Linked DNA regions of Macaca fascicularis. Each later gene encodes a partner of the first gene's protein in a complex. Links are inferred from orthologs where the notes say so. Each region holds a gene or a part of one and is shown in the gene's direction. Other genes may lie near its edges.

Region 1 (4,500 bases):
ATCTTACACAAAAAATACTTCCGCGAAAACATGTGCCCGGCAACTTCCTGTCCAGTCTCCGACTGGCGTCACCTCGTTACTGATTTTTGCAGCCAAGGATAATGATTTAAAAACAATTACGTAATTCTCATTTAAAAAAAAAAATCAAAAATCTTTGTCTGCCTTTACCTCCTTGAATACGCAAATAGTTTACTAAGTCATGAGTATTTTCACAATACTTTACTCCCAAATAAATATATAAGAATCATAAAATGATAGAATTGAAAAGGATAAAAATCACAGTTGTTTCTAACTTCCACCCCTTAGAATGTAGCAAATGAAAATCTATCATCCATCTATCTATCTATCTATCTATCCATCCATCCATCCATCTATTTTTTTGAGACAGGGTCTCTGTCTCACAGGCTGGAGTGCAGTGGTGCGATCTCCGCTCCCTACAGCCTCAACCTGCCCAGCTCAAGCAATCCTTCCACGTCGGCCTCCCGAGTAGCTGGGACTACAGGCCTGCTGCCACCATGCCCAGCTAATTATTTGTACTTTTTGTAGAGACGGGGTTTCGCTGTGTTGCCCAAGCTGGTCTCTAACCTCAGGTTCAGCCTCCAGGCTCAGGTGATTCGACCCCCTAGGCCTCCCAAAGTGCTGCCCATGACAGGCACGAGCCACCGCCCCCGCCTACAATCAATTTTCAATATTCTAAAAAAGCCTACCAGAAATTGTGTATTTTCTGGTGGTATTAAATGCTAGGTTTCCTTGTTTTGTGCTAGAATTATATCAGATCCACAATAAACCTAGGTTCTGACTGAGCTGGGTCTGACTGGGCAAAATCTGTTTTCCCATTATTATGTTCAATTTGGCAAACAGCTTTTCAAAATACAGGAGTGAAGTCGTGGTCTACTAATAAAATTGGTAACACTTGCTACAATGTTTGCAATTTGCAGAAAATTTCACTGACTTCATCTTAACTTATTCCTCACAAAACTGTGGAATCACCATCAGTAGAGCAGGAGGCGTTGGTTCAATGCAGTGCTGTTTGCAACTTCTCGGAGCTTCTAGGTTCTTTCCGTGAGTCTCCAGCTTGCGAGAACCTTCACTCCGCGATTCGGAAGCAGCTGCCTACCCCTCAGGAGGCAAGAGACAGCTCCTTCTTCCCGTTCCGGACCATGGTGCTTTCGCACGCATGCGTAACACGGTGCCTCCGCGCTTGCGCCGATATTCTCCGCTTGGGGCGGATACCCTGGGAACGTGTGAGCGTCCGCGCCCAGCGCGCGCGTGCGCAGTCGCATTTTGAGGGTTTCCGCCCTCTACATTCCCGTCTTTCAAACCACCCCACCACCTCTACCAATCATTCCACTCTCCTCGACTCTTTTACTGCATTAGGACGGTCTGCTCTCTGGCACGTTTTCTGGAGCGAAAACGGCTTGGGACAGAGAGACTCCCTTTGCCAGGAACCCAAGTCCCCGAGGGCGCGGCATTTGTGTTTGAGCGCAGCCCGGCTGCGTCCCCAATTGTATCCCCTGCCGCGCCCGCCTCTTCCGCCGCTCTTGCGCGCGCGCACGGCCGGCCACGGCGCGTCGGGGTTGGCTGCTGCCGCGACAGCTGCGGCGGCGGCCTCGACAGCGGTAGTGTCTTCTACTGCGCTTTTTTAGTTTCCTCCGCCCCCTCCCGTCGGACGCTGTTGTGTGGTTGCCTTAAAAAAAAAACGCAACTTTATTGTTCCTCAGCCCCACCTCCCGGCTCAGCGGGCGTCCGCAGGATGCACTGAGGCGGAGAGGAGGTGAGGCGGCGGAGGGTCGAGGTCGCGGTCCCTCTCCTCCGAGCGTCCGGCCGGAGGGGAGGGAGTCACGATGTCTGGTAGCCGCCAGGCCGGGTCGGGCTCCGCTGGGACTAGCCCCGGCTCTTCGGCGGCCTCCTCAGTGACTTCCGCCTCCTCGTCTTTATCCTCTTCCCCGTCGCCGCCTTCCGTGGCGGCTTCGGCGGCAGCGCTGGTGTCCGGCGGGGCGGCCCAGCCCGCCGGCTCGGGCGGCCTCGGGGGCCCAGTGCGGCCTGTGTTGGTGGCACCCGCCGTGTCGGGCAGCGGCGGCGGGGCGGTGTCCACGGGCCTGTCCCGGCACAGCTGCGTGGCCAGGCCCAGCGCCGGCGTGGGAGGCAGCAGCTCCAGCCTAGGCAGCGGCAGCAGGAAGCGACCTCTTCTCGCCCCTCTCTGCAACGGGCTCATCAACTCCTACGAGGACAAAAGCAACGACTTCGTATGGTGGGTTTGAAGAGCACGCCCTCCTTGTCCCTAAATTATGAGTTTCTGCCGCTTAGGCTCGGGGGTGGGGGGTGGCTTGTTGGAGAGCCTGGGATACTGGTCCTGTGGTGGTGTCTGCAGAGGGATTCGAGCGTTTGCAGGTTGGTGGAGTGAAGGAATGTTGGAGTAGCCAGGCAGGGTGGGGATAATAAAAAGGTAGATAAGTGTTGCTGAGGAGGAAGTGAAGGGAGTTTAGGGAATAAAGAGGGAAGAGGGTGGAAGGTCAAATAAATGGTTTTGGATAACAAAGTTGGCAAAGAGGTTGAGTCTTAAAATTTTTGGCTCTCTGATGAATTGAGCACCCAGTCAATCAGGAGTACTTGTTGAGATGAATTAAATTTGCAAATGGAGAGGACTAAGCTTCCTGGGATGCAGAGGGATGGAATTGGTCAGAATTTATTTGAAGTATGGTAGATGATGCTGTAAACATAAGCATGGAAGTCTTATAAAGACATGCTTTTTATAATAATGTAAGTACCCATCGTATGCATGTGTAAATATGTCTCTCCTGACATTTCGAAGGATGGGCCACTTAGGAATCTGCTGTTAAGACGACTGTAGTCAAAGTCTGTTAACAAATTTTTCACTTTTCCACCAAGTGTCTTGAAAAGAGAGAACCAAATTTGTTAAATAACGTCCCTGTGTCAGATGTAACTGTACTATACTGGATAACAGAGGATGCTGGAACTTCTGACTTGAGAAATGCTAGGTTTAGACATTTTGTCATCATAGTTGGCATCTTGGATGATACAGAGTAGCATTTAGTCAGGACATTTGGGATGGAGGGGTTAGTCGTCGTATTAAGTGAAAGGTGGAGTTGATTGTGTTGCTTGAGAGTGTTTTGGAATTTTTATTGGGTTTTAGATATTGGTAGGATTATGAGAAGTAATTGCTGTTAGCTAGTTAAGAACTGGTAGTGTTTTGTACTTTCCCTTTTGAGGAAATTGTTGATCGAATATTAGGCATGTAGGAAGTTGGCTGCTTGCACAGTCGTTATGAGGGAAGTTGATTCAGATCAGAGTTGAAGATGGTCTGAGTTGGTGATGTTAAATATGATAGAGCTAGAAGTTGGAACTGTTAGGAAAGTTATTGATTAGACTTACAGTTTCTAGTTCCTGCAGAAAAATGATGTCTTTATTCACCTTTCTGCTTTTTTGTACGTTATTCTGGATCAGAATTAATCTGTTTTTCATTGAACATTTGAGGTATGATTGTTATTTATAAACAAGCAGTTTGTGGTTGGGGCTGAGAAGTGTTTGCACGTCTACACAGTCGATAGTGCGAGTAGCTAATAAGCTAATGAAACAAAGGGGGGTGTGCAGAATTTAGTTGTCTTTTTAGCCACTGTTTGCATTTTCATTTTTAGTATACTTAACGAACACAAACATGTTAGTTTCCATGTAAGTACACTAAAATTGAGTAAAAGATGTGAGAAATAAAGAATCGATCATTGTCATTCAGGAAATACTTGTATGACATTCACTGTTGGCCAGGCACCGTATGAACTTCAGTGCACTGTAGGCTATGCTATAGGGAATTGGGAACCCTGAGTTTTTTAAAGAGTAGAAATTTGTATTTGAGACGGAGTCTTACTCTGTCACCCAGGCTGGAGTGCAGTGGGACAATCTTGACTCACTACCACCCCTGCCTCCCGGGTTCAGGCAATTCTGGAGCCTCAGCCTCCCGAGTAGTAGCTGGATCATTACAGGCAGCTGCCACCACATCTGACTAATTTTTTGTATTTTTAGTGGAGACGGGGTTTCACCATGTTGGCCAGGCTGGTCTTGAACTCCTGACCTCATGTGATCTGCTTGCCTTGGCCTCTCAAAATTCTGGGATTACAGGTGTGAGCCACCGCAGCCCTGAGTATTCCACTTTCTAAGAATCTCATTAGTTAATTATTTCTTTTTCTGGTGAGGTTTAATATTCAGAAGAATTAATTGAGAGTCTGATTTAAAACTCAAGCCAGGTTTGATTTTGGCCAGACTCTTGGGGTAGGATGATATGGATTAGGCAAGGCCCAAGGAATCCTTTTTTTTTTTTTCCCCCCTCCTGTTTGGCTCTGGGTCTTGTCTTATATGCTCCAAGGTCAAACTGTGAACCAATTCAAATTATTCTATGCTTTTATTTTTTTTATTTTTTTTTAATTTATTTTATTTTATTTTATTTTTTTGAGACGGAGTCTCGCTGTGTCGCCCAGGCTGGAGCGC
Region 2 (4,315 bases), on another chromosome or scaffold:
TCGATTCATGTTAGCTATTATTATTATTTTAATTTTCATCTTCTAATTCCCAGTGTTTAGCTCTTGGTAGATGCTTAATTAGTATTTGTTGAGTGAATGGAGAATTAATAAGGAAAATGATTTATTCTTGGGGCTCGACCTGGTTTTAGAAAATTATTTAGTAGAAGTGCAAGGACGGGCTCTCTGATAATAGTTATATTGTTGGGTGCCCAGGGACTCCAACCTGAACTGGTTCATTCAAGAAAGAAAAATGACAGATTCCAAGTTGTTTCACGCACAACTTTCACGCTCACCCAAATCACGCGGGCTGCCCGGGTGCAGGAGGTATCTCTGGCAGTGGCCAGAATGACTTCCACCGGCCTACCCACCTACCCGGGTTGGCACTCAGGCCCTAGACCCTGCGGGGCGTGTGGAGGCTGGGGAGGGAGCAGGAATCTGGCGGCAGCCACGTGGGCCCCTTCCGCCCGCTCCCCACATCCTTTGTTTCCCACCGGCCCTGGCTCAGGAAGCTCTTTCTGCGAGTCACTGCGAAGGGGCGGCCCGGGAGCCTGGAGAAGCTATTTCCGTGCAATCCGGGCGGGCGGCAGGCGCGGGGGGGTTGGGGGGGCGTGGAGGTGGAGGCAGCGCAGAAGGCCCAGTGTTTGCTTTTCTTTCATCCAACAGAAGGTTCTATTTGTGGAAGCGAACAGACGCTGGGGATTAGAGCTGGGAGGGGGCAGGAAAAGAGAGAGAAAAAAAAAGCCACATCCACTACCACGCACAGGTCTTCCCCGGAACTACCGCGTGGGGGTGAATGACTGATTCTGGAATTCATCACCTCCCCATCCCCCTCCTTCCTCCGGCTGCAGCCGGGGCTCGGCGGCGCCCACGGCTCCAACTGGAGCTCCCCAGGCGCTGGGCGGTGGGGGTATCCCCGGGGCGAAAGGCGTCGCCGCGGGGCTGCAGCGGGCGGCGGGTGCACAGAACCGTGGTGCGCGCTCCCGCCTCACGCCCGCAGCCCATTGTGCTTGCTGTGAATGAGGCGCGCGCACCAATCAGCGGTCGCTTCGCTCCCCGCGGCCCCGCCCCTCCCGCCCACTTCCCCGGACCCTTACGTCACGGGAACTTTTCCTCCGCCCCCTCCTTCGGCTTCTCGGCCGAGCTGGGGGCCTGCCGGAGGGCGCGCGCCACCTCCTGCCCAGCCCAGCCCGGGGGGCGTGTGCGCGCGCCCAGGCCGGCCCGGGACGCACCACCTGTGCCCGACAGCGCGCTGCCCCGAGCATCCCCAGCCCTCGGGCCACCCCCATTCCCCCCACCTCCTGTTCTCCCTCCCCTCCCCCAAGTCTCCTCCCTCCGCTCCTGAGACTGCTCGCCGGGCGGCGAGGCCGGAGTCGTCGCAGCCACCTCATTGCACAACCCGGCTTCCCAACTGTTTACACAGCCCGGCCTGTGAGTGTGTGTGTATACAGCGTGAGTCACCGGGAGGCGGAGGAGGTGGAGGAAAAGGAGAAGGAGGAGTGCACTGGCCGGGATCGGTGCGGCGCTCACACTCACTCACAGTCACTCTCTCTGAGCGCGTCTCGCTCGCTCTCCTACACGCCCGGAGCCCAGGAGCGCGCAGGATCCCGAGCGCCGCGAAAAAGTTCCCCCGGCTTTAGCTCGAGACTCATCGCTTTGGGAAGTGCATTTGCTTCGTGGCTCCGCCGAGCCTACTGAATCCTGTCCTCGCGGCTCGGGAAGCCGGGATCGCTGGCCGCTGCCGCCGCCGCCTCTGCCTCCCGGACTGTCGGCAGCCTAGGCAACAATAGTGGCGGCCGCCCCCAGCGAGGCTCCGGGAGCCCTTGCCTGCGGGGATCCGGGGACCCAAGCCGGCCTCCGCTCCCCGGACGCACAGCCAGCGTGGTCCCCGCGTGCAACGCGAGCGCCGGGGAGCGGCTCCTGCTTTGCCCCTAGTGGGGGCCGAGCCAAGAGCAGTCTGCAAACTCCATCCCGCCGGCTGGAAGAAGTCGCGGAGCCGGCGCCAAGCCCGCAGCGTCTTCCCGCGCGGATCCCGGGACTTAAAAAGCCGGGGCCGCCCCGGCCCAGGACGGGATGCGGGTCGGTCCCGTTCGCTCTGCCATGAGCGGCGCCTCGCAACCCCGCGGCCCGGCCCTGCTGTTCCCAGCCGCCCGAGGCGTCCCGGCCAAACGCCTGCTGGACGCCGACGACGCGGCGGCCGTGGCGGCCAAGTGCCCGCGCCTCTCCGAGTGCTCCAGCCCCCCGGACTACCTCAGCCCCCCCGGCTCGCCCTGCAGCCCGCAGCCCCCACCTGCCGCTCCGGGGACCGGCGGCGGCTCCGGGAGCGCGCCGGGGCCCAGCCGCATCGCCGACTACCTGCTGCTGCCCCTAGCCGAGCGCGAGCATGTGTCCCGGGCGCTGTGCATCCACACTGGCCGCGAGCTGCGCTGCAAGGTAGGCGCTCCCGGGCCAGGACCCGGCTGGGGTCGGGGGCGCAGGACGGGGTAGTAGGCAAAGGTGCTTGGGGTGCGGCCAACGCTTGGGCTGGGCACAGGGCAGATCAGTAGATGGGGTCAGATAAGACGCCATCTGACCAGGTTCACCTTTTTGTGGATTGAGGGGTTTCCCATGGAGTGGTATAATGGGGGCGCCTAGAGGAAGTGTAGTGTTCAGTGGCCTTCTCTTTCTGTTCCTTTCCTTAGCGCCCAGTGTAGCGCGTGGCGTTCCATATAAGTTGTGGAATTGAAATGGATTCCAGGGCCATGCCATTCCCCTTCTCTCATTCTCCTCGCTCTCCACCCCCCGCCCCCCCCCACCCCATGTCCTGGAAGGACGCCCTGCAGTGGGTGCCTCCTAGGAGATTGAAGCAGCTGGCATCTCTCTTGCCGGGTTTGCACGGCACCCGGGCTCAGTTGTAGGTGGTAAGAGCGCTGGAAGACTGTGTCCGGCTCCTGCCTTGGGGATTCCGAATTGAATTCGCGCTGGGACTAGAACACGTCCTCCCAAGGGAGCAGTCCCAGAGTCTTCCACCCGAGGCGGAGGAATCTGCTCGGAGTAGAAATGTTGAAAAGCCCACACCGGGCAGGAACCCTCGCTTCGATTCACTTTATTTTCCAGCCAGCGATTTTCCTTTGAACGTAGGGATCCCATCCAGGAGGAGGAGACACAGCTCCTAGAAACAGGATCCGCCGGGTCCTCCTCCTGCGCGGGTAGACGCAGAACATTCCCACAGTCTACTTTATGCGAGCATGACACCCCTGCTTGAGGCACCCCAGAGCACCCTCGGGCTGCTCCTTTTCACCCGAAAGATAGGATCAGCCCCCAGTTAAGTCGCTTCTGCGTTTTCCGCAACTCACCTGACACTCCCAACACCCCGACCCCGTCCCGGGGCTCGCTGCTGCCACCTACTGCCCAACCCGAATGAAATTTCAAACGCATGATCAAGCCCAGTTTAATAGGGGGAGATAAAACCCTTTTCTTCTCCGTGGCTGGGGCTCAGAGCTGTTCTGGGACAAGCATATGTGTGTGGTGGGATGGGGTGGGTGGGAGGAGGGGGCAGCAGGGGATTGCCAGAGCAGCCAGGCCTCTTAGAGGTGGGGTGAGTCTGGCCATTGTGCAACCCCTTCCAGTTCCTCTGAGCAGATAATAGCTGAATCCAGATGGTGACAGCCCGTGTGTCACCGTTTCCAGTTGAGTCTAGGATATGAGTAACTGGACTAAACAAAAGGCCTCTAAAGAGATCAGCCAGCTTCCTAGAAGAGAGGAGATGCTACTCATTTTTAGGGGTGGGGTCGGGTGTGGGGGGTAAACAAACAAATGAAAAACCGATTCGCAGGATCCCCTACCCCTCCTGTGAGAATTGTAACTCAAGGCGGCTTACTTACACTTGAGTCGGACTGTAGGCAGGTTGCTTAAAGCTGCATTGTCCCAGCCTCCCCCTCCAAGTCATCTGTTCCTTCTGATTATTGACAGCTCTGCATGTTCTCTGGCCCCTGCTTCCCCTTGGAGGCTGCAGAGTCACCACATTCTGTGCCCTTTCTGTGCTGAGCACTTTGGGTCTGCAGGAGACACATGCATGTCCAGGGACTGCTTTTCAGCTCCTGGACAGGCCAGGGGCTTCCTTCTATCAACCACTCACTAGTGTGGCCTGCAAACAGGAAAGGGCCACAGATGTTGGGGGGTTTGCTTAACTCTCAGGAGCTGATGGAAGATGGGAACATGTAAAGGAGACAGTTCTTTCAAATGATCTGTGTGAAAGCGGGTAACCCTTTGGGTATTTGCAAGTCTAGAGCTCCAGGTGTTACTGGTTTTAAAGGTGTCGGGGGCAGCTGGGGCCGAG

Evidence for each region.
Region 2: the proteins of COP1 (region 1) and TRIB1 are in contact, whole or in part, in a crystal structure (PDB 5IGQ), measured with the Homo sapiens proteins. The link is inferred for Macaca fascicularis from reciprocal best matches to the Homo sapiens genes COP1 and TRIB1. Residues at the interface, in NP_071902.2 of Homo sapiens: Ile423, Ser425, Val441, Lys472, Tyr491, Trp517, Asp534, Ala556, Asn557, Cys559, Ala576, Asp577, His578, Lys600, Ala601, Ser603, Thr618, Lys643, Asn644, Phe645, Phe699; in NP_079471.1 of Homo sapiens: Asp355, Gln356, Ile357, Val358, Pro359, Glu360, Tyr361.

What each region holds. Positions count from the first base shown.
Region 1 is NC_088375.1:33,768,531-33,773,030, reverse strand, and holds the start of COP1 (E3 ubiquitin-protein ligase COP1), read left to right. Parts: upstream 1-1,573; 5' UTR 1,574-1,844; coding exon 1,845-2,251; intron 2,252-4,500. UniProt on the Homo sapiens protein: E3 ubiquitin-protein ligase that mediates ubiquitination and subsequent proteasomal degradation of target proteins.
Region 2 is NC_088382.1:135,091,108-135,095,422, forward strand, and holds the start of TRIB1 (tribbles homolog 1), read left to right. Parts: upstream 1-1,507; 5' UTR 1,508-2,070; coding exon 2,071-2,430; exon of another isoform or gene 2,431-4,315. UniProt on the Homo sapiens protein: Adapter protein involved in protein degradation by interacting with COP1 ubiquitin ligase. The COP1-binding motif is masked by autoinhibitory interactions with the protein kinase domain.